Regions from separate parts of the Mus musculus genome. Here regions 2, 3, 4, 5 and 6 are each reported to be linked to region 1. The links are microRNA targets in miRTarBase. Many come from high-throughput screens and were not tested one by one. Region 1 holds a microRNA gene; each other region holds the end of a gene's coding sequence.
What was found. The annotated mature microRNA mmu-miR-3473a reads UGGAGAGAUGGCUCAGCA and lies in region 1 at 2,816-2,833, opposite strand. An mRNA with a match to its seed (bases 2 to 7 or 8) in the 3' UTR can be bound and repressed. Matches are read on the target gene's strand: a 7mer-m8 pairs with bases 2 to 8, a 7mer-A1 pairs with bases 2 to 7 and ends in A, and an 8mer does both.

Region 2: miRTarBase lists Nhlrc1 as a target of mmu-miR-3473a. Seed matches in the 3' UTR shown: 7mer-m8 at 1,379-1,385, 7mer-m8 at 1,393-1,399 and 7mer-m8 at 1,401-1,407.
Region 3: the mRNA of Zdbf2 is a reported target of mmu-miR-3473a. Seed matches in the 3' UTR shown: 7mer-m8 at 3,498-3,504, 7mer-m8 at 3,830-3,836, 7mer-m8 at 4,630-4,636 and 7mer-m8 at 4,886-4,892.
Region 4: miRTarBase lists St8sia1 as a target of mmu-miR-3473a. Seed matches in the 3' UTR shown: 7mer-A1 at 2,681-2,687 and 7mer-A1 at 2,067-2,073.
Region 5: the mRNA of Rnf150 is a reported target of mmu-miR-3473a. Seed matches in the 3' UTR shown: 8mer at 2,634-2,641 and 8mer at 4,542-4,549.
Region 6: the mRNA of Dusp7 is a reported target of mmu-miR-3473a. Seed matches in the 3' UTR shown: 7mer-A1 at 4,128-4,134 and 7mer-m8 at 2,788-2,794.

What each region holds. Positions count from the first base shown.
Region 1 is chrX:162,872,105-162,877,178 of GRCm38, forward strand. It overlaps Mir3473a (microRNA 3473a), which reads right to left and starts at 2,891; the gene lies at 2,814-2,891. It overlaps Syap1 (synapse associated protein 1), which reads right to left. Exons shown (of 9, transcript NM_025932.2): 5 at 411-550.
Region 2 is chr13:47,009,155-47,014,228 of GRCm38, reverse strand. Nhlrc1 (NHL repeat containing 1) reads left to right here. Exons shown (of 1, transcript NM_175340.4): 1 at 1-1,672. The coding sequence ends at 655. It also overlaps the pseudogene Gm5790. Among named protein-coding and RNA genes, the nearest start is that of Nhlrc1, 3.2 kb to the left of the region's middle.
Region 3 is chr1:63,308,955-63,314,028 of GRCm38, forward strand. Zdbf2 (zinc finger, DBF-type containing 2) reads left to right here. Exons shown (of 7, transcript NM_028673.1): 7 at 1-5,074. The coding sequence ends at 991. Among named protein-coding and RNA genes, the nearest start is that of Gm23448, 11 kb to the left of the region's middle.
Region 4 is chr6:142,823,970-142,829,043 of GRCm38, forward strand. St8sia1 (ST8 alpha-N-acetyl-neuraminide alpha-2,8-sialyltransferase 1) reads right to left here. Exons shown (of 5, transcript NM_011374.2): 5 at 1-5,074. The coding sequence ends at 4,815. Gm7457 (predicted gene 7457) reads left to right here. Exons shown (of 7, transcript NR_045707.1): 5 at 1,319-1,384. Among named protein-coding and RNA genes, the nearest start is that of Gm7457, 12 kb to the left of the region's middle.
Region 5 is chr8:83,082,807-83,087,880 of GRCm38, forward strand. Rnf150 (ring finger protein 150) reads left to right here. Exons shown (of 7, transcript NM_177378.4): 7 at 630-5,074. The coding sequence ends at 748. Among named protein-coding and RNA genes, the nearest start is that of Tbc1d9, 80 kb to the right of the region's middle.
Region 6 is chr9:106,373,204-106,378,277 of GRCm38, reverse strand. Dusp7 (dual specificity phosphatase 7) reads right to left here. Exons shown (of 3, transcript NM_153459.4): 3 at 2,554-4,639. The coding sequence ends at 4,332. Among named protein-coding and RNA genes, the nearest start is that of Dusp7, 7.1 kb to the right of the region's middle.

The sequences.
Region 1 (5,074 bases):
AACAAGCAAGCACAGCTGTCGCAGAGCATGAATACAAGCCATGGGAGTTCAGGGAAAAGGCAAGCCTTTACAAACCCGATTTGATTTGGGTCTATTTGTTGTTTCTGATGGAAACATGTTCTACTGTTTAACTGGGCAAAAGAGCACATATCAACCTGACTTTCCTGCCAAGTCTGCCCTCTCCTTCCATTCTGGGCACGCAGTCAAGCTCACAGGGCCTCTGAAGGGCTGCAGGGCCTGTTTGGATGAACAGATAGTGTAGGGAGGGTTCTGGCCTTCATTCAGTGACTCTTCCCTAACATTATGCATATAACTAGAGCCCTTAGGAAAGTGAAATCACTATACTACTGTGAAATAGAAATTACCACTGCAGGAGTGAGCAGTGTTTCTTTAGAAAACATGGTGCTTACAGTTTAGGAACAAGGGCAAATCTCATCTTGCTTAGTAGCTCATCCTCTTGGAGCATGACCAGGGCAACAGGGTACATCTGATCAAAGTCAAAGTTAAACTGCACACCAGCTGGTGGGTCACGGAGGAAATTCCTCTTGTCCTGTGATGAGAAATGGAGGCAAAAACCATTAAAGGGGGTGTCTTAATTGCATTTTATGACAAAGTATCATGGATCGATATACTGAATTTTAACAGTCTTCAGTCACAAAGTCCACTGAGCTGTCACTGACTGGCCCACTTAAATGAGATAGGAGAACAATCCATCCTTTCATGTTTTTTTCTAACACTCACCTGGACAGAGGCTCCCAGGAAGCCAGACAGTTCACTCAGTTGATTGAAACAACATAGTTAAAAATCATATAAACATGTAATAATCATATAAACACCTTTAGGTTTAGAAACATTCTAACTCAAGGCCAAAACACAGTGTGGAACATGCCTGTAGTCCCACCACTTGGGCAGTAGAGGCCAGGGGGATTAGGACTTCAAAGTCAGCATCGTCTGTACAGAGGTTTGGAAGTCAGCCTGGGTTACATGAGACTGTCTCAAAAAGACAAAACCTAAGCTGGTGAGATCACTCAGTGGGTAAAGGTGTTTGTCACCATGCCTGATGATCTGAATTTAATCCCTAGGGTCTTTGGAATGAAAGCGAGGATATGGGCTGAAGTGATCGCTCAATGGTTAAGGAGCACTGGATGCTCTTCTGGAGGACCCAGGTCCCACTAAAATCACCCCCAGGGCAATTCCCAATGTCTGTAACTGCAGTTCTAGGTGATCCGACAACTTCTTCCAGCTTCCTCAGGCATTGCATCCAGACATGCAGGCAAAACATCCCTACACGGAAAATAAAAATTAAAAACCAGGCCAGGCAGTGGTGGCGCACGCCTTTAATCCCAGCACTTGGGAGGCAGAGGCAGACGGATTTCTGAGTTTGAGGCCAGCCTGGTCTACAGAGTGAGTTCCAGGACAGCCAGGGCTACACAGAGAAACCCTGTCTCGAAAAACCAAAAATGAAAATAAATAAATAAATACCAGAAACAAAGCAACAAAAAAAAGAAAGCCATCACCAGCAACATGAACCTCTGCAAAACATTCAGAAAAGCATGGAATTGAAGATCTGGGTATAGTATTGATGTCTGTAATCTCTGTACCTGGAAGGAGGATTAGAAATTTAGGGCCAGCAGCCTCTACTATAGAATGAGCTCAAGGCCAGCCTCAACAAAGTAAAACAACACAATACAACACAGAATCCTACTAGTTACAGATAATTTATGGTTCAATGTAACACTCCCTTGGGTCCCTATGTCTAATATATGTGGTGTCCCTGCTAGTGATGAAAAATCTTGGTTGTCAACATGACAACATCTGGAATCAACTAACACCCAAGCTGGCAGGCACTTCGGTGAGCAATTTTATGAATCAGACTATTTGAAGCAGAAAGACCCACCCTAAAACTGGCAGCCCACATATAAAGACACAAGAAAAACCTTCTTTTTGCCTGTTTGTCCTTACTCTCTACGGCAAATTCATCTATTCTGTTGCTGCAGCTGGTATTAAATAAAACTGCTTTAGGATTCCCATGTAGACTGAGACTAGCAGCTATCCAGGAATCTTCTGGGACTGTAGCACCAGACAGGGATTGCAGAGACATCCAGCCTTGTGGAGTAAATAACTACTAGATTTTCAAGCTTTACACTCAGACAGTTGTTGAACTATCTGAACCAGGCTAATACATCTACTTTCAATATGCATATTTACTCTGTCAGTTTTTTTTTCCTTGGTGTTTTTGAGACAGGGTTTCTCTGTGTAGCCCTGGCTGTCCTGGAACTCACTTTGTAGACCAGGCTGGCCTCGAACTCAGAAGAAATCTGCCTGCCTCTGCCTCCCAAGTGCTGGGACTAAAGGCGTGCGCTACCACGCCCAGCTCTGTCAGTTTTTTTAAAGGTTTATTTATTTAACGTATTGGAGTACACTGGTTGTAAGCCAGCCATGTGGTTGCTGGGATTTGAACTCAGGACCTCCGGAAGAGCAGTCAGTGTTCTTAACCACTGAGCCATCTCTTCAGCCCTATTCTGTTAGTTCTATGCCTTTAGAGAATCCAGCAGGTAAGATTTGCCATACGTAGGAAGGCAGGCAGTCCATACATTGTGATAGCTACCACTTTTTAAAAAATATCTTGTTTGATACATAAGGCAATTCACTTTAAAAAAAAAGTTATTTCTTTTTTTTATCTGAGTACACTATAGCTGTCTTCAGACACACAGTAGAAGAGTACATCGGATCCCACTACAGATGGCTGTGAGCCACCATGTGGTTGCTGAGAATTGAACTCAGGACCTCTGGAAGAGCAGTCAGTGCTCTTAACTGCTGAGCCATCTCTCCAGCTTAAGACAATTCACTTTTTAAAAATATTTTCTGGGCTGGTGAGATGGCTCAACAGGTAAGAGCACCCGACTGCTCTTCTGAAGGTCCTGAGTTCAAATCCCGGCAACCACATGGTGGCTCACAACCATCTGTAACGAGATCTGACTCCCTCTTCTGGTGTGTCTGAAGACAGCTACAGTGTACTTATTACATATAATAAAAAAATAAATAAATCTTTTTAAAAAAATATTTTCTTTCTTTTTTGTAGGTTTTTATGTGTATGGGTGTTTTGCCAACATCTATGCCTGTGCACAACATGTGTGGCTAGTAACTACAGAGGTCAGAACAGGGTGTCAGAGCCTGAGACTAGAACTTATGAATTGTTGTAAGCAGCCATGTGGGTGTTGGGAATCAAATCTGAATCCTCTGAAAGAGAACCCAGTGTTCTGAACCACTGACCAACTCTCCAGTCCTAAGTTTTTGTTTTAAAAACAGTCTCCTATAGCAAAGACTAGCCTTACATCCTCTATTGGAGGATAACCCTAAACTCTTGCTCCTCCTGACTGCTGGGATGACAAGCATGAAAGCCGACTTTCTTTTCTCACTCAAGGTCATGAACAACTTTCCAGCTCTAATGGCTATATTAAATGAGCACTAACTTACCATAACTTACTAAACCAGACCTGTTTCCAGAGTCATTTTAGTAGTTTCTAACTTTTTGAAAGAATTCTGAAAGCAGGGTATAGTGGCATACATCTGTCACTTGGGAGGCTAACACTGGAGGACTGCTTAGAATTTGAGACCAGACTGGGCTACACATTGAGTTCCAGAATAAGACCTTATTTTTTTTAAAAAAGGAGAGTCTGTATTCCTTTGTAAAGTGAACTTTAAATTAAAAAAATATATATTTATTATCATTATTGTGTGTGTTGGGGGGAGGTAGAGGCACACACCCCTGTGCCACAGTTTGTATGTAGAAGTGAGAGGACAACATAGGGGATTTGGTTCTTACTCCATTTTATGAGGGTTCAAAGGATTGTACTCAGGTATGAGTCAAGAATTTTCTTTGTTTTTTTTGTTTGTTTTGTTTTTGTTGTTGTTTTTGTTTTTTCGAGACAGGGTTTCTCTCCTGGCTAAGTCAAGAATTTTCTTAACCCACTGAAACATCTTGCTGGCTTATAAAATAATATCTTTAGAAGAAATTCCTAGAACTGGAGTTTTGACTCCATGAGTACAGTTATTTCAATGACCATTGCCCAGGCTTTCCTGTGGAGGAGGCAGAAGTCAAGGAAGACTCACAAATTTTTTTTTACTTATTTATTATATGTAAGTACAATGTAGCTGTCTTCAGACTCTCTAGAAGAGGGAGTCAGATCTTATTATGGGTGGTTGTGAGCCACCATGTGGTTGCTGGGATTTGAACTCAGGACCTCTGGAAGAGCAGTCAGAGCTCTTACCTGCTGAGCCATCTCGCCAGCCCGACTCACAAATTTTTACTAGAAAAAAAAATAGAGACGAGAGTGCTGCTGGTACAGTTCAGAGATAACAGAGCGCATGCATAAGCTATACAATCCACAAGGCAATCCTGAGTTCATTCCCTCAGGCCCAAAAGGGATGGAGGATAGGTTAAAGGAGAATGTTTGCGGGGCGGTGGTGGCGCACGCCTTTAATCCCAGCACTCGGGAGGCAGAGGCAGGTGGATTTCTTCTGAGTTCAAGGCCAGCCTGGTCTACAGAGTGAGTTCCAGGACAGCCAGGGCTACAGAGAGGAACCCTGTCTCGAAAAATCCAAAATAAATAAATAAATAAATAAATAACGGAAGTTGTGGACATTTGCCTCAGCAGTTAAAAACACTGGCTGCTCTTCCAGAGGATCTGGGTTTGATTCCCAGCACCCATAGAGAGGCTTGTAATCACCTGCAACTTCCATTCCAGGGATCCTACACCTTTTTTGGCCTACAAGTACATCAGGCACACATATGGCACATAGACATATATGCAGGCGTATAATACACATATAGATTAAAACAAAGCAAATATGGATTCATGAAGTCATATGCCATGCTCTGAGCTTTGATCAAGTTGGCCTTTGTTCTCTGAGACAGCATGGAGAAGTAAGGGTTAACATCATAGTCTCAGCCCCCTCAGTGTTCCAGAGGGGTAAAAGCACTAGCTATTATCATCTGCAACATTATTACTGGCTGCTTTGGCTATATTTCTTCAAGTCATGAGATAAAGTTTTGTGGGCCAGTAAATGGAAT
Region 2 (5,074 bases), not on the chromosome of region 1:
CACCAACGACTGCCATGTGGTTGTCACCGACGCTGGCGACTGCTCCCTCAAAGTGTTTGATTTCTTTGGCCAGATCAAGCTGGTTGTGGGAAAGCAGTTTTCCCTGCCTTGGGGTGTGGAGATCACCCCTCACAATGGGGTCCTGGTGACTGATGCAGAGGCAGGGACTTTGCACCTGCTGGAAGCGGATTTCCCTGAAGGGGTCCTTCGGAGGATTGAGAGGTTGCAAGCTCACCTATGCAGTCCCCGTGGGTTGGCAGTGTCATGGCTCACGGGGGCCATCGCGGTCCTAGAGCATCCTTGTGCCTTTGGGAGGACTGGCTGTAACAACACAAGGGTGAAGGTGTTCAACTCCACTATGCAGCTGATTGGCCAGGTGGATAGCTTCGGGCTGAACCTCCTCTTCCCCTCCAAAGTAACTGCCTCTGCTGTGACCTTCGATCACCAAGGAAACGTGATTGTTGCTGACACCTCTGGTCCAGCCATCGTCTGCTTGGGGAAACCCGAAGAATTCCCAGCCCTGAAGCCTATAATCACTCACGGCCTCTCCCGTCCTGTGGCACTGGCCTTCACCAAGGAGAATTCTCTTCTTGTGCTGGATACTGCATCCCATTCTATAAAAGTCTTTAAAGTGATGGAGGGCAACGGAGGGTGATGGGGATCCTGAAGCCAGGAGTCAGAAATCTTGGTGTCATTGGGAGTGAATTGGTCTCACCCATCCATCCAGACAGAAGTAATGGTAACTGAATGGCAAAAGCAGTTACTAAGGCAGTTTTAAAAGACTAATAATTAAATTTGTCATTCGGTGAATGCCTGTTCCCGTGTTAAGAAATTTGCAGATCTTAGCCTGTTTGCTTCTTAACACACAGCGATGTTAATTCCTATTATCCGTCCACTTGGGAGATGAGAAGACAGACCCAGAGCATTCAGTATGGTTTCTTTAGAGTTGTATTCACTGGGACAGTTGAATTCAGTTCTGGCTCCAAACCACTTGCTCTTAGATATGATGTTAGATGTCGTCAACAACAACAAAAACTGTGAGCTGTGTCTTATGTATGTATGTTCTCCTTACAAGTGGGTAACTGGTAAAGTGCACAAAGACAAGAAAGGGGTCTTCATGGGGATTTTAGGAGAAAAGGGAAGTTGTCCATCACCTTCAGCTGTGAGCTCCCCCAAAGGTAGAGTAGATAGCTTATTACCAGTTCCAAGATTTGAACAAGAAACAAAGTTGAGCTCTTTCCTTATAAGGCAAAGGCTGCCAGGATGATAGTGTGTGCCAGAACTCCAAATCCTGAGAAGTGGAGGCAGGAAGTTCAATGCAATCTGCAGCTTAGCTACCTAGTAATTTTGAGGCTAAGCTGGACTAGTGTGTTCTCTCTCTCTCCCTCTCTTTCTCTCCCTCTCTCCCCCTCTTTCTTCTTCCTCTATGGGCACTGGGAACTATCCCGCAGTGATAATTTGAGAAAAATCTGCAGAGCCACTGCCTGCTAGCGTCATGGGCATATGAGACTCGTGTTAATTAGATCTTGCCCCAGCACATTGATGGCAGAAGTGATTTTGTTTGGTGTGGTAAATCTCTGACGCCTGAAGCACTTTGTGATGGAGGCTTTTCTCTGTGTAATTTGAAATGTGATTCAAACACTGTACTTAATAAACAGTCTTCGTCCTTTTAGAGTGCTGGAAACGTGTCTTGAATGGAAGCACAGCCTTGACAATGTAAGGGCTCCTCAGTGCTGTAATTGAGGGGAGGAGTGGAGAATATTTGGGGTGAAATGCTGATCCTCTCTATTTTTTTTTAAGCAAGCACAAAAATCTTTGAGTTCAGGGATGTTGGAATTATACCAAATAACTTACACCTCTGGGGCAGCATGAAAATGTTTTCTGGGGATGCTTTTGAGAGGTGAGAGTTTGCTTTAGATAAGAACTAATGTTGTGTCAACAAAATGATATCCTTTTATACAAAGAGGCTGTTTGGGGACAAGGTCTTGTACATCTTGGACCGACCTTGAACATGCTCTGAAGCTAAGCCTGACCTTCACTTCTGATCCTCCTGCATCCATCTCCCAAGTGCAGAATTAAAGTCAAGTACCACAACACCAAGGGTTCTGTGGTGCTGGAGGTAGGTAGAACCCAGGGCGTCATACATGCTAAGTAAGTGTTCTACCAACTGAGTTACAGCTAGCTCTACAAAGATTTATTTTATTTTTTATTTATTTATTTATTTATAGACAGGGTTTCTCTGTGTAGCCCTGGCTGTCCTGGACTCACTTGTAGACCAGGCTGCCCTTGAAAATTCAAGAGATCCGCCTGCCTTCTGCCTCTCCTGCCTCCTCTGCCTCCTGCTTCCTCTGCCTTCTGCCTCTGTAGCACTGAGATTGAAGGCACACACCACACTCAGCCCCTATGGTTTTAATAGAGACACTCACTGAAGTATGACTGAAAGTGTCTTCCAAAGGATACGAATGCTGACATCAGGAGCCCAAGGTGAAGGCCTAGCTGCCATGCCATCCCATTAAAGCCTGTGTTTCTTTTTAAATTATTACATACATTTATTATTTATTGTATGTATGTTCACACATGTGCCTGTGTGCATGTACACATGCCATCATGTGTCGAGGTCAGAGGACAGCTTGAGTGACACGCCTGTTCTCGTCTGCTACCATCTGGGTCTAGGGTACTTAACTCACATCATCAGGCTCTGTGGCAAGCATCTTCACTCCCGAAACATCTCCTCCCCTGCCCACACTGTTGCTTTAACTGATTCCATCCCAGAACATCAATAGTAACATTTTGGGCACTGCTCAACACCACTGGTCCTCTAACAGGAAGCCCAGTGGTTGAATTCTTCTCCCTCATCCCGATGCCCTCGGCTGGGCATTGTAGCACACACCTAAATCCTAGCACTATGAGACCAACCTACATAGTTAGAGCCTGCCTCAAAAAAAAAAAAAAAAAGTCAGATAAATTATCACCATAGACCAGTAACTTTACAGCTATTTTAAATATGTAACAGCAAAACTTAGATAGCAACTGTGGATTGATCTTACAGTGTTTTATTTCAGAACCATTACATTTGGATAATGTTAGTGTCTGTTGACCCAATTCAAAGATTTGAGGGGGGCAGGGCCTGCACGCTTGCGCGAAGGACTGGGCAGCGGTTGCCGCGCCCCTCCCCCGCGCGGCACTCAGTGCCAGGCGGGAGGCGGCAGCGGATGGATGGAGGCTTCTCGGGGCTTTGCAGCAGGGACTTCGGTGGCGCCTCAGGCACCCGGGCTCTGACACGATGCGGCGAGTGGTGCGGCAGAGCAAGTTCCGGCATGTCTTTGGACAGGCGGTGAAGAATGATCAGTGCTATGATGACATCCGCGTCTCCCGAGTCACCTGGGACAGTTCCTTTTGCGCCATCAACCCCAGATTCGTGGCCATCATCATAGAAGCAAGTAGGGGAGGGGCCTTCCTGATGCTCCCTCTGCACAAGACGGGACAAATTGACAAATCCTACCCTACAGTGTGTGGCCACACAGGACCAGTGCTGGACATAGACTGGTGTCCACATAACGATCAGGTTATCGCCAGCGGCTCAGAGGCCTGCATTGTTATGGTTTGGCAGATCCCAGAAAATGGACTGACCCTTTCCCTGACTGAGCCTGTGGTGATTCTAGAAGGCCACTCAAAAAGAGTTGGCATCGTGGCCTGGCACCCGACGGCCCACATTGTGCTTCTCAGTGCAGGCTGTGATAATGTCATTATCATCTGGAACGTGGGGACAGGGGAAGCCCTCATCAACTTGGATGATATGCATTCAGACATGATTTACAACGAGAGCTGGAGCTGTAACGGTAGTCTCATCTGCACAGCATCCAAAGACAAGAAAATGAGAGTCATTGACCCCAGGAAACAGGAGATGGCGGTGGAGAAGGAGAAAGCACACGAAGGAGCCAGGCCTATGCGTGCCATCTTCCTGGCGGACGGCAACGTATTCACTACTGGCTTTAGCCGCATGAGCGAGCGGCAGTTGACGCTCTGGAACCCAAAAAAACATGCAGAAACCAATGCTCTCCATGAAATGGACACTAGCAATGGAGTGCTGCTCTCCTTCTACGACCCAGACACCAGCATCATCTACTTATGTGGGAAGGGTGACAGCAGTGTCCGCGGATGAATTCCCATATGTCCACTACCTCCACACATTCAGCGGCAAGGAGCCTCAGTGAGGGATGGGCTACATGCCCAAGCGGGGCCTTGACGTCAACAAGTGTGAGATTGCCAGATTCTTCAAGCTTCATGAGAGATAGTACGAGCCCATTATCATGACGGTCCCCAGGAAGTCTGACCTCTTCCAAGACGACCTGTACCCTGACACAGCGGGGCCGGAAGTTGCCCTTGAGGCCGAGGAGTGGTTTGAGGGGGAAGAATGCAGACAGACCCCATCCTCATATCGTTGAAGCACGGGTACATTCCAGGCAAGAACGGGGATTTCAAGGTGGTCAAGAAGAACATTCTGGACGGCAAGCTGGCTGCAAACAAGAAGAGCAATCTCAACTGTGCCCCCAAGAAGCCCACAGACATGGCCAGTGTGCAAAACGAAGCCAAGGTGGATGAGATTCTGAAAGAGATCAAATCCATAAAGGAAACAACCTGCAGTCAAGACGAGTGCATTTCCAAGTTGGAGCAGCAGCTGGCGAAGATGGCTGCCCGAGGCTCGCCCACCTCCACGGAAGGTGGCTGCTCCTCCTGGGCGCACTCCCAGCCAGGGAGGGCAGAGAGGGAGACACTGCCATTTGGAGACATTCCATGTCAGATCTGTCAGGCAGTGATAGGTCACATTCCAGTAAGAACTCTCCCAGACCTGAAAGCTGAGCTTTTCCTCAGGGAGCTTTGATGTTTGGCAGGTCTGCTGACTTGCTGAGCTTTCCTACATTTGAAATGCCAGATATTCTGAATTTTAGAGACCAAGCCCCTCCCCCGCCCCTCCCCGACTCCCGATTCCCCACCCACCCACCCAGCGTCCTACTCACACACCTGATGACCGGGCCAGGGCCACCTCTGCTCTATGTCTCATCCTTTTTAATGT
Region 3 (5,074 bases), not on the chromosome of region 1:
AAAATCAAAACTAGCTTCAGAAAAGCTGGCTATTTGGATTCAGCTGAAAGCGACCGACATCATCAGGAAGTATGTCTCTAGATGCCATGGTCTTATGCCCCGGAGGCATCTATCAAAGACTGTTCTTATAAGAATGCAACTGAGGAAGAAGAAAATAGTTGCCAGGAAGATAAAGGAAGCCAAGAGAGCAGCTGAAGCACTAGCGCTCAAGCTCTCGCGCCCCTCGTGTCCCCCGCGGGCCCCGTGCCCCCCGCGGGCCCTGTGCCCCCCTCGCGCCCCGTGCCCCCCGCGGGCCCTGTGCCCCCCTCGCGCCCCGTGCCCCCCGCGGGCCCTGTGCACCCCTCGCGCCCCGTGCCCCCCGCGGGCCCTGTGCACCCCTCGCGCTCCGTGCCCCCCGCGGGCCCTGTGCACCCCTCGCGCCCCGTGCCCCCCGCGGGCCCTGCGCGCCCCCTGCCCCCCACGGGCTCTGTGCTCCCCGCGCGCCCCGTGCCCCCCGCGGGCCCTGTGCCCCCCTCGTGCCCCGTGCCCCCCGCGAGCCCCGCGGGCCCCGTGCCCTCCGCGGGCCCCGTGCCCTCCGCGGGCCCCGTGCCTCCCGCGGGCTCCGTGCCCCCCGCGCGCTCCGTGCCCCCCGCGCGCCCCGTGCCTCCCACGCGCCCCGTGCCTCCCGCAGGCTCCGTGCCCCCCGCGGGCCCTGTGCCTCCCGCGGGTTTCGTGCCCCCCGCTCCCCCTGTGCGCCCCGTGCCCCCCGTGCGCCCCGGTTCTCCCAGCTGGTGCTGAAGAGCAGTTGAGCACTACTGCAGGACCTGCAGAGCTGCCTGCTCATCTTTCCAATGCTGGAGGAATAAAGCGCTACAGGAAAACTTACTTCCGGAGAAGGAAGAGACTTCTTCCAGTGAGAGAATATGACCTGAGAAGCTTGAGTTCCACAACAAATACCGACAGGATGGTGACACGGCTTGCAAGCAAGTCGAAAAGCAATGAGGCAAAATAAAAGTGCGCGTCGCGTCGTAGCGGATGGAGACCTCAGTCCTTCACTTGGATGGAACACATTTGAGACTTGAATGCACATACTTTTCCCAGCTTTGGTGGGGAAACTGACCTTACACTATTTTGCTACAGATATTATTTTTCGGAGATTTTATATTCATTTAAAATTAGTGTTTAGGGTCCTTTTTTTTTCTTTTAAAGATTTAAAAGCAACCTTTGTCCCATTTATGTAGAAGAGCTTCATCTTAATTTGTCTCATAATTTAGCATACTATATAGAATTCTGTTCCTTAAATCATGTCCTCTGAAAATCTTTCGTGCCAAAAAGTTATAACACTGGGAGAATGAACATAGCAAGCTTATTAATTTCATCTTTTAAACAATTGGGACCGATATCTATTTACTTAGTTACCACACTTCCAAGTTGAATAGCCAGTAGGTATTCTAACTGGATAAATAAAAAGAGCGACATTGTGCTATCTCGGTTTTCAAGTATCTCAGTTTTGTGATCAAACGATCACAAAAATATATAACTTCTTTTTCTTTTAAAGTCATTCCATAAAATATTTAATCCAGTTTTTTTAAGCACCTGGTGAAAGACAAATTCTTTTTCATTTAAATTGGATCTGCAGTTCTGTAGCTTTTCTCATTTGCACACATACCCACAGATCTTTTTGTTAACATTATTAAGTCTTACGTGGAAAAGATTTTGCAAATGTGAATAAGCTTTGAAGGTACCTTTTCTCCCTTTATTAGTAATCTAAAATGAAAATCCAGGTAATTTTATCATCTTATTTACTAATATTTTGGATAACATTTTTAAAATGATGAGCTTAAGCTGTTGGTTTGATAATGGCATGTGGACTGGCCATTAATTGTCATTAGTGAAAAACTTGACATTTCAGAAAAATTAAGTTAAACTAGTAACCTAACTAGAGACCTACTTTTCAAGTGAAAAACAGTTTATACATCAGTTTATCTTAAACTATCTAATTATATTAAACTAGCTAGATAGTTAAAGGTTAAGCCAATTTGACATTTTGTCTTAAACTACCTAATTGAGTTTAACAGTTGAGATAAAGAGCTTGGATACACAGTGTGAACCTCTGTGGTACTTGAGTCTATTCCTTTGAGGGTCATTGACTGAGCTGGTGCAGATGCATCCCCTTTTCTTGTTCAGTCAAGACCTGGATCTTTTTCTGTCATTGATGTTATGAGGAAACACGAAGTTTCCCTTTACTGTGTAACTACTATATTTTATTGAAACTAGAGTCAGTGTTAAGATGTGTCTTGATTTCAGAGATAAAACTGTGTTACCTTAGAATTAATGAAATATCAACGTGGTTTTGTTCCAGGGGCCATTATTTAACCTGTGAGTCGTTAATGGTGATACTATAGTCATCTCTTTACTTCTAAATATAAGTGGTAATTATATTGCAGAGTGGACAAATGTGCTTTTTTAGTCGGCAAGTAACGTGTTTAATTTTTTCAACCTTGCCTCTTTATCTTACAAACATTTTAATTTCTTTAAAACATTCTTAATGGGCTGCTAGTTTTTTTTTAAATCCTCAAAATTTAATTAAGGAAGAAAACTCTTTCACTGATTATGAAGTAAACATGAAAAAGTATTCTTTGTAGGTATTAATGTCTTTTGCAGCTCCCAGACACCATTAATAAACACTCTTGTAATGGAGGTTAAAAGTGAGAGTTCATACCTAAATAACCTACCATGTAATTATGCCAGATTATATCTATTGTGATTATGTCCCGCAATGAATATTCAAATAATCAAAATTTAAAGTTAAAAAATTCATAATTTGGAAACTTGTCTAAGGACCTTTTAAAGGGAAAGCAAGGAAAAAATTAAAATGTAAAATTAACATCACCAAAAATATAAAAATGTCTGGTACAGAAATTATGGCTTTGTTTAGCATTTTGCAAATATTTACTAACTTCTTGTAAGGATTATTATTTTAGACAAGATTGGAAACTTACTTAAAATGGTAAAACTTAAGTTAAAAGTGAATTATTTTAGAATTTGATAGGATATAAGATGTGCCCCTTTGTCTACATAAATGTTGATTTAATTTTCAGGCTAGGTTGAAACAATTGGTTATTTTGTGTAGTCAAGAGTGCATTATATTCTTTCAATAGTAATACATCAAATTACAACCATATCATTTCATTAATCTTGTCCCTTTTAGTATCTTGAATAGATTTTTATTGTGATTGTCCTGGTGAAACAGTGTGTGGACAATATTGTGTAAAGAGTGGTTTTTTTGCATTTGTGCATTTTAAATTATTTATGTAACTAGGGCTCTGAGTAACACGTTTTGTTTTGTTTTGTTTTGTTTTGCTTAAAGAAAAGCTATATTTAAATATTCAAATAATTATATATTTCCATGTAAAACTAATGTGAAGACCGATGTATTTTTTATAATGCAATTTAAAGTGTAAACTTGTTTTGATGTTATCAAGATAAATTTATTAAATATTGAAATTTGTGTGTACTCTCTCCTAATGTTAGAACCTTTTTCTGGAAATACTTAAAAAGAATCAGAGAGTAATTAAGGCTGAAGTAATTCTGTAAAAGGCCTGAGAGATGATAAATAAGAGAATGCAAATGTTGATGCTGGCGAGAAAATTGTTTAACCAAAGATACATAGGTTGTACTCACATAAGTAATTATTTCAAAAGATTAAACAACCACTAATTTGCCTGGAGGAGTGATGGGGCAGCTGTTTGACTAGCACGCCTGCACTGAAAGGATTGAGTTCAGGAGGCAGGATCCATACCACCATCTGACGCCCTCTGGGAAATGACCAACCCCAAAGCCTTCCATCTCTCTCCGTGTCTTCTGGTGCCATAGCATCTGACAGTGATGACAGGATGGCATGGACAGGTGCCTGAGAGAATAGTGACATAAGTGCTTCTGACCCTAGAATTACTGACTTGGAACATTTGTTGGTCAGGGATTTTCGAGTGAGAATTATCTTCCTATTTACAATGAGAAGTTACTACTTTTTAGTAAAGGACTTTTATGTTTAGAAACATGGAATTATAGAATTATACACCAAAATGCCAACTCAAGTAAATTCAAAGTGAGGAGACATAGCTTTTTTTCATCTCTTACTCAGATGAACTCAAATATTGAGGGAAAAATTAGTTAAAACATTTCCCTTTCTTCTTATACTTCATGTGTGTAAAGTTCTAAGTGTTTTAAGCCATGGGCTTAATTTTTCAAAATTATTTGCTTTAAATAAAGATTGAATTCAGGATAAAGTATAGTTTGTTGCTGGATCTTTATATTATTTCTAGGTTTATTTATTTTAATGACTTTTAAACCTGGAAATCAGTTTATTTCCCAGATTTATTATTCCCAAATTTAGTATATGTACATATTGAGGTGATCTTGAGTACAGCACAGTGTCCCAAACTTTAACTGTATCATGTCCCTTGATCTTTGTATTTGGGAGCCTTGTTGGATACTATAACGATCACTGTGAAGTGAGAACATTGAGGCATAGAGTAGTTAACCCCCTTCCTACCCGTAGCAATGGGCCATCTTCTAGTCTCTATCCCCTTAGAGTCATCTTCTCTGTTTACTTCATATAAGCAGTACCTTTATGTTTCTCTCTCTCTCTCTCTCCTTTGTTTCATTTATCATGATTAGGTGTTTTGTTGTTGGTTAGTTGGTTTTGAGAGTCTCCTAGTTATAGCATGCTGAGCATTTTGGGTTTTAAAATTACTTTTTAGCAGTTAGTTTTAAATCTACTTAATTTTTTTTATATATTTATGCCTCTGAGAGTTGAATCCAGGGCCTTGTGCATGTGAATCAAGTGCTCTGCTGCAATGTACCTCCAGCTCTCAGTCTTGAATGACACCACTACCAGAACCTTTCTCTCCTGCCAACAGACGGGAAAGCCAGCAGGTGCGAGGCTAGCTTTGTTCCCTGCATGGTTCTTATTATCTGATTCCTCCTCAGATCCAAGACTGGACAGCAGAGTTGCCTTTTAGAGTGTTCCTGTGGTTCACTTGAGTGTTGTATGCTCTCGTGGCCTTTGACTCCTCTTTACCTACCCATCATG
Region 4 (5,074 bases), not on the chromosome of region 1:
GAGGACATGTTAAGGCTGAGAATAAGGCAGATACTAGACACTATTACTATTCGTGTGTGTGTGTGTGTGTGTGTGTGTGTGTGTGTGTGTGTGATGTACAGATATAAGACTCTCCCACTTACACAACAGGAGTTGTATAGGGCTGAGACTAAATCTTGTGGCCTCACATTTAGGAGTTTATAGACATATTCTGGACTTCGGAATTCCAGACTTTCAAAGACACAGCACAGGAACTGTGAGGTATTTGTTATCTCCATAGATTCAGGGACTCTGGAAGTCCACCCATATAGACAGAGAAAAGAACTCTGCGTATGATCGTATGCAGGGTCACACCTGGGCCACAGTGACCAGACTCTGCCACAAGATTAGCAAGTGCAATCCTAGGCAAAAAAAAAATCAAAGCAAAATATGTTTGGTGATTCAAAATTTTAAATTATTGGCAAATTTTCATGCTGAGGCTCCTGTCGTTGCAAGGCTACTAGCTCAGCCCCCAGTGGAAGACAACAACTGTGATAGGGCAGAGATAAGTGGCAGTGGGGGCTTCTAGCTCAGCCCTCAGTGGAAGCCAGCTCCTCTGTTGGACAAGAGGGTCATCAAGAACAAAGGTATAGACCCCTCTGTCCCCGTGGATGCTGAGAGCTTGGGAACTATGGTCACCTCCCTTGTCACCTTGCCTCTTCCTCTCCTGAGCATACAACAGAATCAAGTTTCCAAAACTTCTAAGAGGATTTACTGCTGACCCGATTAGCCACATCAACCTGGGCTGCAGGTGTCAAACATTGTTAATTTGCTTCCACCCCTGATGTGGGCTGCCTGGAGCTCACATTTCTGACTACTCTGGGCAGGAAAAAACACACAACAGCATCCTCAGTCTTTGTTACTGCAGACTTGCCCTTGAGAGTTCAGACAAAGCTTTACAGCCCTTGATCTCTGGGCTTTTTGATGAGAAGTAATCTTACCTGGTTCTGGCGGGGAAGCGTCTATACCACAACACTGTATTTCATAAGGTAAAAACCATTGGGGAAGCATCTATACCACAGCACTGTATTTTATAAGGTAAAAACCATTCAGTGGACTCGTGACTGATTTTCTCATTAGATCTTTCCTGACAATGATTTGCCAGTGGAAGAGTCTATGAACTTGGTATTTTCAAACATGAAAAAAATAAAACTATAGATGTCTGGCTTCCCAGCGAAGAAGCACAAAGGACACTACCTGAACATCTGCCATTTTAGAGAATTAACTCTCTACCTTTATTAAGATTTATTTATTTATTCATTCATTTATTTATTATGTGTATGTTCTTGCTTGCATTCAGTGTCCATGGAGACCAGAGGAGGACACCAGCTGTCCTGGACCTGGAGTAACAGTTAGCTGTGTGTGGGTAAGTGTGCATCAGAACCTGAACTCAGGACCCTGCAAGGGCATTCAGGCCTCAAGGGTGAGAGTCTCCCGTGCCCCCTCCTTTTTCAAAGTCATAAACGTGAACAATCTGGTTTAGGCACACAATTTTTTAAAAATATACTTTGGCAAAGCACTAAGAGTCATCTTCTGAGAAAAGCTCTCTCATGTAAAAGCTTTCCTTCTGCTGGGATGACTCGCTCTTCACCTAGCTTAATTTTTACTGAAGTGTGATTAAAATCAAGCAGCAGCCGCCCTCACTTGGGAGCTTGAGAATCAACAAATTCTTAAGTCGCGGTTGACTCAAAAAGAGAATTCCTGTTTGAGTATTCATTAGCAGTCTCTGCATTCTCTCTCCTTCCTCCATGAAGCAATTTTATTTTCCACATGCATGTGCACACACACATACACACACTTAAAGCACTGATCTAATTGGTGGTAGAGTGGGGTGTCATCTCTTGCCAGACACAATGAAATTAATTAATGTTCCTATTAAACATTTCTATCATAACCCAAATCCCTTCTGAGCTGAAAGTTAAAGGTCAAATACATTAAATAGTGGACTAGGCCCAAAGCTGAAGGCCTAAATCTCAATAAGCAGGATTGAATAATACCCAATCTCTTAAGAGTAAGGTGCTACTCTAGAATGTTCTAAAGGATGATTCTGGAGAGGCTTCTACTTAGGAACACATATTTTACTAAAAATAATGCTAAACAGATGCACACAGCTATACACACATAGACACATACATGCACATAGACACACACACACACACACACACACACACACACACACACACACACACACACTTGTTTAGCTACATCATTTAACCAGACTCACATAAAGTTACATACGACATACCAGTGAATTGTCACTATAAAATAACGAAAGGCCACAGAGATCCTGTTCATGACATCAGCGTTATACCTGTGGCCTAAAGGACAGAGCACAGGAGCAGTCAAGCTTTCCTTTTGGTCTAGCCTGGGGTTCCTCAGCCTTCACACAACTAACACTTTACTGAGTCATTCTCTGTGGCAAGGGGCTGACCTGTGGTTACTGGACCAGCATTCATGGTCACTCCCTACTACAAGTGTGAGCACTCTTGGTCATAACAATTGAAAGTGTCCTCGGGGTCCTGATGGCACCTGAGGGAAGGGCAGTCTGCTCGGGTAAAAAGGACAGACAGTGTTGGCCAGATCTGTTCTGACATTCAAATCCCATAGAGAGTGGCTTTAAAACTGCACAGACTAAACACACGGACCTGTTCTAGGAACCAGATGGAGAGCTAAAGCTCCCAGACAGTTCTCTCAGTGCACAGTGGTCTGTTATGAGCTTCTTGCTTAGATTTTGACCAATTAATGTATTCATCTGAACACATCTTTAATGAAATCTTTGTATGTGATGTTTTCTTAGCCCTTTTACACTTCTGATGAAGTCTACTGATGAACATGTCTTCTTCCTTAGATAATGGTTAAATACCAGTAGCTCAAAACGAGATTGTAGTCAGGGTTGCGCAGATACGAATAACACAGCTCATGCTGCCTTCTAGATATCCTGATGCTGTCACACAAACGGAAACACTAAGCCAGCTCTGCACAGCAGCGAGCGGACCATCAGGCCGCCCAGTTTCCTCAGTTCAAATGCTATCCATAGAGTAGCCTGAATATTGGATCACTTTTGGAAATCCCCCACCCCAAGGGTACATCTCAGGGGCTTGCTTGTCTTGTAAGTTAACCTTCCTTTTAAAGCCCCCTGCTTTTCATAGACATGGTCGATACACCGAGTTTCTACCTCCAAGATGAGGCAGAACTTGTGAGTCGTTTTCACCTCTATCATGACGACAGTTGAAAAAATAAAATGGGTTCGTACATCTCCTCAGAGCTTAGCACATCTCACAGCACAAAGGTCATAAGAGAACCCCCTTCTCACCCCCTTACCTACAGTAAGCACACTGGGCCAGAATCTGCCAGGAAAGCTCCCGAGCTATGTCAAAGCTGATGTACCAAGCTGCTTAAACGGCCCCACCCACTCGGCATTAAGGACTTAAACGGCTGGTGGTTCCTACCTGCTTCCTTGAAAGAGCCACATCACATGTCACTAGGCTCAACACAGGGCCCATTCATGAAATTTTGGGGTGCAGGGAGGCACTATGAGTAAGAGAGGGGTTCACATTCTGATTTATGTATTTGAGGGTCAGCCTTGCACCCTGTGCTGACAGGCAAGCTGACAGCAACTGCCATGCCAGCCTGACTGTGTCAACATGGAATGGAGCCCACACTACATGTGGCTCTCCAATACTGGTTACAGACTCTAGGCCATGCACACTCAGTACTGATGGTTTCATGAGAATAATCTTTGATTACTTTGTAGAAAGTGTAGAGAGTGTCAAAGTGTATGTGTCTATATTCATGTGTGTATACATATATATGTACATATATATGTATACAAGATAATCCATGCATGTATACATATGCGTATACACGCATGAGTTATCGTGGAAGGAAATATTCATGTTAGAGAGGAAAAGGCCCTGCCTTTGTCTATCTTAAAGATGAAGCTCTCACTCTCTGTGAGCTACGTCACCTCTCATTAAATGATGAGGGCGCTTCTGCTACTTTATAAGTAAACAGTGTACTTGCAGGTCTAGTGATTCTATGAAAATAACAGAGCCAATGGGTTGATGTAATGGGGACCTAAAATTTAGTTTCCCTCTCAACTTCTGATGTGAAGAAATGGCTCGTGTGATCTAGACAATAGATCAACACAGTCTAAACTCAACAGAGCTTCATGCTAAGTAGACTTAACCAAAAGGAGGTAAGAAGTGATTCTTATTTAAAACCGTACTAGTGGAGGGGACTATAGTCATCAAAGACTTGTTTTAACAAATCACAATAATCAGCAGGAAGGGTTTTGTAAGTCTATACCATTACCCACCCATAGCCCTGAACAGGGCAAAAATCAACAATAATTTTTTTTAAACCTATAGTTCTAATGCCAGTCTCAATAAGACGGATCTTTAAAATGATTATGATGCCAGTGTATATTGACAGTCAGCAATATCCCAGCATCTCCCACAGGCTGCCATGATGGGCCCCTCGGCCTCAGCAACAAGAGTTCATCTGGTCCTCGAATCACATCTTCTTGATTTGAATCACAGACATGTGCTCTGCCATCATCGTCTCCTTGGGGTTGTCCCGCTTGCAAATCCACAACACTATAAAAACATTCCCCGGGACACTTTATTTCTTGTTGTTCTCCAAGCCAACATCAAAAGCAGTTTTGCTTAGGTTTTGTTTGTTTCCTATCATGCCAATCCATGACACACTTTGGCAGTTCTTTTTAGAAGTCACATTAAAAAAAAAAAAACCTAGCAAAAATATCCCCCATCCCGTCCTTTCTTCTTCTGCAGTCCCTAGGAAGTGGGCTGTGGTGACGGCTCCTCACACGGGTCCAGCTGCATCCTCAGCGCGCCGATTTTGTGAAGATACCAAAGCTGAAGGAATTCCTCAGGCATGGCATGGTAGCCTGAGAAGGGCAAGACGTTGTCATAGTAGTGGTGACTGATAGGGTCCCCTTGCATGTTCACCGAGAAGGGCCAGAAGCCATAGATGGACACCTCCTCACAGAGGCCCAAGGCTGCACTCACCAAAAAGAGTCCTGTAGACAAGCGCT
Region 5 (5,074 bases), not on the chromosome of region 1:
CAGACTCAGTCTTCCCGCCTCCACCTCCGCGGTGCTGACTTTACAAGCGTTCACCACCATAGCCAGCCTCTATTAGTTTCCTACCACAATGGCTCACATTTAAATTTCTGACCCACTTAGAATTTATCTGGGGCTCTATTTTGAGGTGAGATTTGAATTAGAGTTTTTACAGAACAGCCAATTTTTTGTAAGACTTCTGGAAATAAAATTATTAGGTGAAAAGTTTATAACTCTAATGGAAGAGTGGAGTAGAATAATGATCTCTGGATGCTGGGAAGGGTAGCACTTTTTTAAAAAAGAAGTGCTAGTAGATGGGATGGAGAGTGTTTTAAACTGCATACTGCTCTTCCAGAGGCCAGAAGTTCAGTTCCCAGCATCTGAACTGGGCAGCTCACAACCACTTATCACTCCAGGGGAGCCAATGCCCCCCCACCAGGCACCTGCACTTGTGTGCACATACACATATGCAAACTCATGTGACAATCAATATTATATGCTTAATTAAAAAAAAACAAAACAAAACCTAGATCTTAAAAAGAGAAACACTACTAGGAACAATAATTCCAAAACGGAAGCATCCAAAGACATAGCTTGACGTTGACCATAAACTTTGCTTTGTCCCCCTTCAGGTGGTCAAGAGCCAGCACTGAGCAGTGACTCTGACATCTCATTAATTATGGCACTGGAAGTGGGCCTGTCTGATGTAGAACTTTCCACTGACCAAGACTGCGAGGAGGTGAAATCTTGAGATGGTAGAAATGGACAAGAGAAGACATAGGAACCAGGGGGACAGGAGGGAAGCATGCTCCAAGGACTGAACTGGATACACGACCTTCAGATCACCATGGCAACCCCAGGGCACTCTGTTCAAGGGTGGTAACGAAAGCAATATCCAAAGTCTCCCGAGTCAGGATGCGGGTTCCCATCTCTGCAACAACAGCCTGTGGCCTTGATGTGGAAGTTGAAAGCTGAATTTCTTGGTGTCTGTGTAGACGTGCAGCAGACTGGAAGGAGAACTCCACAGTTTCTTCACTTGACTTCAGCCTCTCCCATCTTCTTGCTCTTGTTTGGGAAAAATGGTTTCATTCCCTTGGCGACTTCTTTTTAAAGTTGATGTGTAGTTTACATCGATTGATTCCCTCCGTTTTCCCTTTGATCCACTCCAGCCCATGTACAGAGGTCTGCTTAGAAGTTCTGGTTGCTGGCCCTGTGATTGGTTTATACCACGTCTTGAGATTCATAGTCGCGAGTTATCAATATGACGTGTGTATGACTTTGAGGATTGCCTCGGCACCCTGAAACAGTGGAAAGGCAGATTTTACCAAGTGTCTAAACCCCTCCAATAGGTGGGCCTTGGCGAGCCCAGCTGCCAGACAGCCACACTAAGTTCTGGATCTGCTGAGCTGCTTGCTGGCTATTTTCCACTCCACTACATAGGCTTCCACTTGCCACGCTCTGTCAGGGGCCATCTTAGCAGGAGAGAACTGTCAGGGAGGAATGCAGGTCCTCTGACTGGAGGGCCTTAGTCTAAAACTCAGAATTCCCCAAAGGACACCATGACAAAGTTCAGAGTATGTGGAACTATAAGCCTAGTTTAAAAAACAAACAAACAAAACAAAACCTGATACCCTGTCTTCCCAGGAAGATGCCTGACTCCCTGATTTCCTCCAAAGCCTTAGCAGTTTATCACCTTCATAAATGAATTCCACGGGTACGAGGTATAGAAAAGATGAAATCAGTTTTTAGGTCACTGGCATCCAGGTGTAAGCTTATTTCAGGAACTCTCCTGTTAACCCTCACCAGCCTACATGGAAAGATCTAAATAAGTCCTTAACAGTTTCTCGGGTCTTCTGAGAGCATTTGGGTATCAAGAGGAGAACGAGGTATGATCTGATAAAGTCTGAATCAAAATGTGCATCATGGGAAATTGCTAAATTGAGTCTCCTCTGAGAGTTAGAATCAAATAAGATTACAAGGAAAATAACAAATGACTATCAAAACCCACCGTACTATAAAGTGGTTTACGATTTTATTCTCTTTTTGTCTGAAACAATAACAAAAGTGTGCTGTCTTTTGAGTAGACAGTATTGTGATACATGCAGCAATTCCAGAGACATAGGTGGCCACCTGTGTCCCTCTGGACAATCAGAAGGATCTCTTCCTCCTCCTCCTCCTCCTCCTCCTCCTCCCTAGCAGTTGGCAAGGTCATACAGAGCAGGGATTATCAGGAAAGCAAGCTCTTCCCACTGAGCTGTATTTATGTATTTGATTTGAGCTTTTCCACCTCATTACACTAATATCTTTCAAACATTCGTGAGCTGTAAATCCATGCTGCCCACTGGAATTTTGAGTCCAGGGCGATGGAATTCTCCACTGCTCCTTTTCCTTCCTTCCTTCCTTCCTTCCTCCCTCCCTCCCTCCCTCCCTCCCTCCCTCCCTCCCTTCCTTCCTTCCTTCCTTTCTTTCTACTTTTAATGCATTCCTATTCGATGGTAGAGAGCAAGGCAAGGAAAATGATAACAAGCTTCAGAAAAATCACCTCTGTCAAAGGTCTAGCACATCCCATAATTAATGCCCGCCTCCAAGGCCTGAGATGCTTCGTAGCGAGGAAGCAGGTGAGTGCTAAACCAGACTCTCTCCAATGAAGTTTCGAAGATGAGTCTCACTGTCCCCTCTGTCTCAGGTGACACATCTGCACTTCTCCAGGGGGGATCTGTGTTGTGAAAACAACTGAGTCACAAAGGAAATTTTAATATTTAGTCTAATGACATTGGGGTAATTCAACAACAAGAGAAATACAAAATTACATTGCATGACCAGACAGAAAAAGATCTGGTAGGTGTTTTCTGGCCAGTGGCCAGGTAAACGCTGATTATATAAGCAAGTCCTTGACCTAATACCCTACAGGATGCTAAGGAGCCCAAGAGGCCCACCCTTAGCCTGTTGATCTGACTCCAAGGAGACCCTGTGGCAAACTCCCTGAGCCTTTGACAGTCTCTGCTTACCAAAGAGTTTTGAAGGGCTTCCCTGTGACCTTCATGGCAAAAGAAAGATTAAAAGAAAGTTTTTCCTCTTGAGATAACTGGCAAAGCTCTTACTATAGACATTGCTGCTGCCTTCCGTGATGAGGAGGCCCTGACCTGAGGACCCAGTGAGCCACACGTGGCTATGCAGCCCAGGAGTGCCCACTGACTATGCATTTACAGGCATGCATTTTTCTGGAGCAAGTGGTGCACCAACTCTGTCCAACAGAAATACAGCCCAAGTCACATGCATTTTTTTTTCTAACTCCCGATAGCCACATTTTAAGAAGCAAAAAGGAAACAGGTGGAAATTATTTAATAGCAGTTTAATCTAATATTATTATTGTTTTGATGTGCAAATGATGTAGGGTGTCAGGAAAACATTTTCCTCTATTCTTTGTTACCTATTCTAAATCTGCTGTCTTTTACACGCCCAGCACATCATCATTATTACTAGCCACAGTTCAAGCTTTCCGTAGCCACATGTGCCTAGTGGCCACCAGCCGGGCAGCACAGCCCAAGAAATGTTCCAGAATCCTTACAAGTGCTCTCCTGACTGTGACAGGAGAAAAAGGATAAGATTACCTCAGGTTTTCCCCAAAAGAAAAACAGACTTTAGCCAAGTTACCTAAGGAGACAGCCAGGGATGTTCTTATTCCATAAGTAATAGCGGTTCAAATAGCCTTTATCAACTTTCTAAACACAGTGTCCACTGTCCTCAGCAACTGTTGCTTCTCTGACGAGCTGTTTGTTAAAAAACAACAAGACAACCAACCATGCTGATTTGGTGCTGAAATAAAATTACACCCTCACTTTTATGACAAACCCTGAGACTCATGTGAGAGACTTACACCCCTCACTTCTATGACTAATCCCAAGACTCTTAATGTGACACTTAGCCAAAGAGAATTTACCTCAACCCATAGTTCTTCATCCCTGTGGCTGCCCCGTTCTAAAGCAGTAGAACTCAGAGACAGGAAAGGCGCAGGAAACCGCAGGCCGAGCCACATACCCGGTCTGTGTGGCATTGCCGAGAAAGGATCTCTGAGCTTGTGGCCATCCAGCCTCTATGTGGTGAATGGCGAGCAGCTTTCTCTTCAGCTTTGTCCAAGGTTGAGAGAGGAAAAGAGCCCTGAACTCCCTCAGAGTCACTTTCAGAATGGCTTCCTCCTGCGTGGTTAATCCTTCTAAAGGGCTGCTGCCTCCTAAGAACAGCCTTGGGTCTGGCAGGGCCTTCAAGGTCAGTTCTGGTCACACACCCAAGGGATGGATATAGTATGGAGACAGGAGATGATAAGGTATCAGAGGCAATCAGGCAGTGGTGGCTCACACCTTTGAACCCAGCACTCAGGCAGGTGGATCTCAGTGAGTTTGAGGTCAGCCCGGTCTATGAAGCAAGTTCTGGGACAGCTACAGAGACAAATACTGGGTGGAGGCAGGGGCAGAGGTGGGGAGGAGTACCAGAGGCACCTAGCTATTTCAACATTGTGTGTGACATCCTGGCCATGGAAGCAAGTCTCTCTCCAGAGATTTGTTGTTGTTGTTGTTGTTGTTGTTGTTGTTGTTGTTGTTGCTTTAACATTTTCATCTGTGGGTATTCAAGGGTCTAGCCTGTTAAGAATGGCTGTGCCCAGTGGCCATTTTCTTTACAGCCCAGACATTCCTGGGACTACAACACTTCCAGAACCAAAAGAGAACATCAGTCTGCCTAAGATTCTTGGTGTAAGCTTAGTTGGTGCTGAAGTAGATTGCATAAGCATTTAATGGCATTTAGTTGTCCACTGAATGCATATCCTTGGCTGAACACCATGAAAATTACCAAATAAAAACTTTCAAAAATTTTAGGAAAGATCATCATGCAATCTACAAAGAGAAGGTCCAGTCTCTGCAGTGCTGAGGTACTGAGGCCAGGGAGATGATGTCCTGTAGAAGAAAAAAAAAAAAATTAAATGTATGAGTTGCTCTATCTGCATGTACACCTGCAAGCCAGAAGAGGGCATCAGATCCCAGATACAGATGGTTGTGAGTCCCCAGGTAGTTACTAGGAATTG
Region 6 (5,074 bases), not on the chromosome of region 1:
TCATTTATCAGAAGACAAGTTGAGGGCCCCATTATCCTACCACCCAGGCTGACATCACAGAACTTTCCCTGGGGCATGTTCCCATTCCTGGGACTGCCCAGCCAGCACAGGAAATGGCTGGCGCATGAATGTGCCTGTGAGTAAGTGGCTTAGATCCTTCTCCCCTGAGAACGCTAAAAAGCGACAAAGAAGTGGAACTCTTTGGGTTCCTGGAGAAGAGTCTGAAAAGGCAGAAATGGGGACCTTGCAGGGCTAAGAGAGGGTCAGGAAACTGAGTGACAAGGTAGAATGGCCCAAGTGTAAGTGTTCACCCAAAGTTCAGGGGGACTGGTGTCTGGGGGCCCAGCTGAGGTTGGGTTTGAAATGTTCAGAACCCATTGATGGGACTTAGCTGTGCCGGGGTAGAAAGACAACGTGAGAGTCTACAAGGATGAAGTCTAGGAGCTAGAGCTGCATGGCCTGGCCGAAGGTTTCTGACCAGGGATGGTTTCAGCCATAATCGGGACCACTGCCCCCCAGCCTTAGCAAGCAGCACGTGAGGGCAGAATTTCCAAAGAACAAGGGTACTGTGGGTCCGAGACAGACCACTGGGCTTAAGATTTCATGGTTGGCAAGGGTGGGGTTGGCCCTCTTCATGCACTCTCAAGCCCTCAGTCCTCAGCTTGAGGAGTCTGCTCAGGAAGTCACTGCTGTTCCCACCCCCATAATGTCCTTGGGCGCACTGGCACTGCCAGGCACTTACTCTGCCTGTTAAGGGCCCAGCCCCCAGCCAGGCGCCCGCGGGCTTCCCTAGCCTCAGGCAAGGGCACTGAGGGGAACAAAGGGGCAGTCTCTGCCTTCTCAGACACCCACCCCTGCCTGCCCCTGGCACAGAAGGACCAGGGCCCTGAGGAACCCTGACAGTAAAAGTAGCAACCGTCTCTTTGCCAGCATTGCGAGAACCCCACTTCCCTGGCCCCTGGCCTGCAGGGACGGGAGGTCCTTTACTCGGGAGTCCTGAGCACTGAATTCAGGCTTGCCAGTCCCAGCATTGAGCCGCTGGCGGGTGGCAGAGCCTGGTCTCTCTGTCATAAGCCAAGCTGTGAGGGTGGTGACTGTTCTGGTGCTCTGTGACAGAGGGGCACCAACGAGACAGCGTCAGAGAAGAGGCAGGAGGACAGAGGCCCAAGGCCTGGAAGAGGTTGGGCCTGCTTACCCACCTTGCACCTGAGTCCACCTGATGCAGGCAAAGGAGATGAAGCTTTCTGAAGCAGTCCAACAGGGGGGCTGTTCCCTGCTGTGGTCCCTCCTCTCTGGATCCACTTTTTTAAAAAAAAAATTTTTTTTGCTGGGCGTGGTGGTGCACGCCTTTAATCCCAGCATTTGGGAGGCAGAGGCAGGCAGATTTCTGAGTTCGAGGACAGCCTTGTCTACAAAGTGAGTTCCAGGACAGCCAGGGCTACAGAGAAACCCTGTCTTGAAAAACCAAAAAAAAAAAAAAATTTAATATTTATATTTTATATATGTGAGCACACTGTAGCTATCTTCAGACACCAGAAAAGGGCATTAGATCCCACTACAGATGGTTGTAAGCCACCATGTGGGTGCTGGGATTTGAACTCAGGACCTCTAGGAAGAGCAGTCAGTGTTCCCACCCACTGAGCCATCTCTCCAGCCCCCAGAGCCACTTTTTTGCTGGCAGCTCTAGCCTGTTAAGAGTGGGAGCCCCGTCTCTTGTCAGAGTATGCCTGGGCCTAGCAAACATAGAAGTGGATGCTCACAGTCGGCTATTGGATGGATCACATGGCCCCCAATGAAGGAGCTAGAGAAAGTACCAAAGAAGCTAAAGGGATCTGCAACCCTATAGGTGGAACAACATTATGAACTAACCAGTACCCCGGAGCTCTTGACTCTAGCTGCATATGCATCAAAAGATGGCCTAGTCGGCCATCACTGGAAAGAGAGGCCCATTGGACACGCAAACTTTATATGCCCCAGTACAGGGGAACGCCAGGGCCATAAAAGGGGAGTGGGTGGGTAGGGGAGAGGGGGTGGGTGGCTATGGGGGACTTTTGGTATAGCATTGCAAATGTAAATGAGCGAAATACCTAATAAAAAATGGAAAAAAAAAAAAAAAAAAAAAAAAAAAAAAGAGTGGGAGCCCCACTGGAGGCCCAAAGACACTGCTTCCACCTGCCCTCAGCATGCAGCAGAAAAAACAGGTGCTTGCTCACCATGCCAAACCCAAGAGGAGGTCAATGTCTCAGTGAGCTTGGCTCTACTTTGTATTTTTCAAAACAGGGTTTTTCTGGGTAGCCCTGGCTGTGCTGGAACCCGATCTGTAGAGCAGGCTGGCCTCAACTGCAGAGACCTGCCTCTGCCTGTGTGCTAGCACTAGAGGTGTGCGTCTCTGCCCCAGCGTGGATTCACTTTCATCCAGGAGCCCTTGCTGCCACCTCCTATATCTGAGCAGCTCCTGGCCGACGCTAGGAAAGAGGCAGCCCACTCTCTCAGAAACAGACAACACTGCCCCTGCCTCGTCTTCCCAGGCCCTTATTGAACACCAGGACTCCATTTAAAGAAAAAATAATATTTATTTGCAATATAAACAACGTCCCGTTGCTGGCTCGGGATATATATGTGTGTGTGTGTGTCTATATATATATGTATGTATGTAGGGTCACAAACTTTCCTTCATAAGATCTTAAAGCAAAACTGGCCACCCTCTGGTATACCCTCATTTACACTCTGATCCATGTTTCTGGGTTTTCTTTTAAAAAATGAGAAGGGGGGGGGTAAGGGAGGGAGGGAGAGAGAGAGAGAGAAACATGCCATGTACAGAATGGAAGTTTTGTTTTTTGTTTTTGGTTTTTTTTTTTGCCAATTTCTCAACTGTGGCAAGATTTTAAACTGCTTCCCTAAAGAATCCCTGAAAACCAGCCCTGTGAGGTAAGATGTGGCCTCAGTCACTGCCCCCTGCGGGTGTGCGTCCCATCAGGACCCCAGCACTTCCTGTTCCTCATGGTGCCTAGGGAGAAGCAAGGCTGAGAAGCGATGAAACCGGAGGAGTATTATGGAGCCCGTGGCTTTGTGCTATGGATCCTGGGATGGGGGCCTCTTACCCCCCACTAGCCAGTCCTTGCCCCACCTGCCCCAGCTCTTGGGCCGCAATAGGTGTAGGTTGCCTGCAGGTTAAAGGCACGGGCAACATGGGCCAGGGCAGGTGTGCACCTGGACAAGGGGGCTGGGGGTGAACCTCGTTGGAGTCTACAGCAAAGCTAAGGGACTGGGAAGGCTTTACACAGGCACTGTGGGCCTCTATTCCCAGTTCAGAGACAGAGATGAGGACAGAAGTGGTGGGCAGTTTATGAAAGGGCCAGGGCGCAGCCCTCTCAGGGGCGGAGCCCAGATGGCTAATGCTACTGCTTGCCACTCCCCTGCAGCACCACCTCCAGTAGGACCTGGCAGGGAGGTCTGCAGGACTCTCAGAAGGTTGGTAGGAGGGCAGACAACACAAAGACCACCAGTGCCCACCAGGCGCAGCTCCTAGCGACGGGACTGTGCCAAGGCGGCACTGAGGTGGGCTGGGTCACAGGTAGGAAATGGTAGAACCAGGGTCCTGATGCCCAGAGAGTGACAACCCACCCTTCCAGAATGGCCTGCTGGGAAATCAGACTTCACACACGTGCAAAATGCATTTGGTCAAGAACATGGGGTTTGTCTTTTCCATTGAAAACAAAATACATCGATGGTTTGCTTTTTGAAACAAGAAACTGAGAACACTCTCTCTCTCTCTCTGTCTTAGGAAAGGGGGTGAAATATTGGTTTATACAATCCATTGTTGCATTTAGCCTGAAAAATAACACTTTGTTAAAAAAAAAAAGAGAAAGAAAGAAAAGAAAAGAAAAGAAAAGAAAAGAAAAGACAAGAAAAGAAAAAAACAAACCAAGAAGAGCTTGAACTCTGCTCCAGCGAGCTCGGATTTACCTGCCAAAAGTAGCAACCTCAGGTCTGTGGATATGTCTTTAAAAATAGCCAGAATGGCTGGGCTATCAGCCGAATGGATGTCCTGGGGCAGAGGCAAGGCCCCACCAGCCCCCAAGCCGCAAGTCTGAAAGCTGAGGCCAACGCTCGCTTAGCAACATGTCTGGAGAGCTGAGGCCATCTGGCAAGTGCTGCCACAGGACCCTGCACAGGATGGCATGGGAGCTCAGCCACTGCTCAGCCTGGTTCTCTGGACACAGGTGACATCTGTGGGTTCTTCAGGCCAGAGGGGCAGCAGGCTAGGGCCCCCACCAGGCCCCGTGGAGGGCTGGGAGACCCTGGTGCTGCGCCCATCAGTGCCCCAGGCCTCACGTGGACTCGAGCGTGTTGATCGGGAACAGGTTATGGTTGGTGGGCGTGGAGAAGTAGAGCTGCTCACTGGGTGCGTGGTTGTCGCATGGGCTGCTGAGCCCCAGCGTCCGCTCAAAGTCCAGCAGCTGCCCCATGAAGTTGAAGTTGGGCGAGATGTTAGACTTTTTCCTCTTGACGAAGTCATAGGCGTCGTTGAGGGACAGGTTCATCTTCTGCATCAGGTAGGCTACAGTAACTGTCACTGAACGGCTGATGCCTGCTAGGCAGTGCACCAAGACACCACACTTCTTGGAGCGGGCTTCATCTGAAACACAGGGACACGGGTCAGAGTAGAGCCATCTCCAAGGAACCCCTAGGACAGAAGGGCAGAGGCACAGGAAGGTGCTTTAAGGGCCTGATAAAGCCCAGCATGGATAGGGTGTGAGAGGACAATAATACCATGCTGATCACCCTGGCCACCAGTGGGGTCTCAGCATCCTCTGTTACACAGCTCAATTTAAGAGACAGGGTCTCTCTGTGTAGCTATGGCTATCTCAGAACTCACTCTGTAGACCAGGCTGGCCTCAAACTCAAGAGATCTGCCTGCCTCTGCCTGCTGGACTGCTGGAGTGAAAGGTGTCCCTGACTACTGCCCAGGTATTTGTCAGTGCTTTTGTAGGGACCTGAGGCAAGGGGGTTCACCAAGCCCAAATTACTGTCACCCCTGGGATCACTTCTCGTCCCACATGGCCACAAGTGG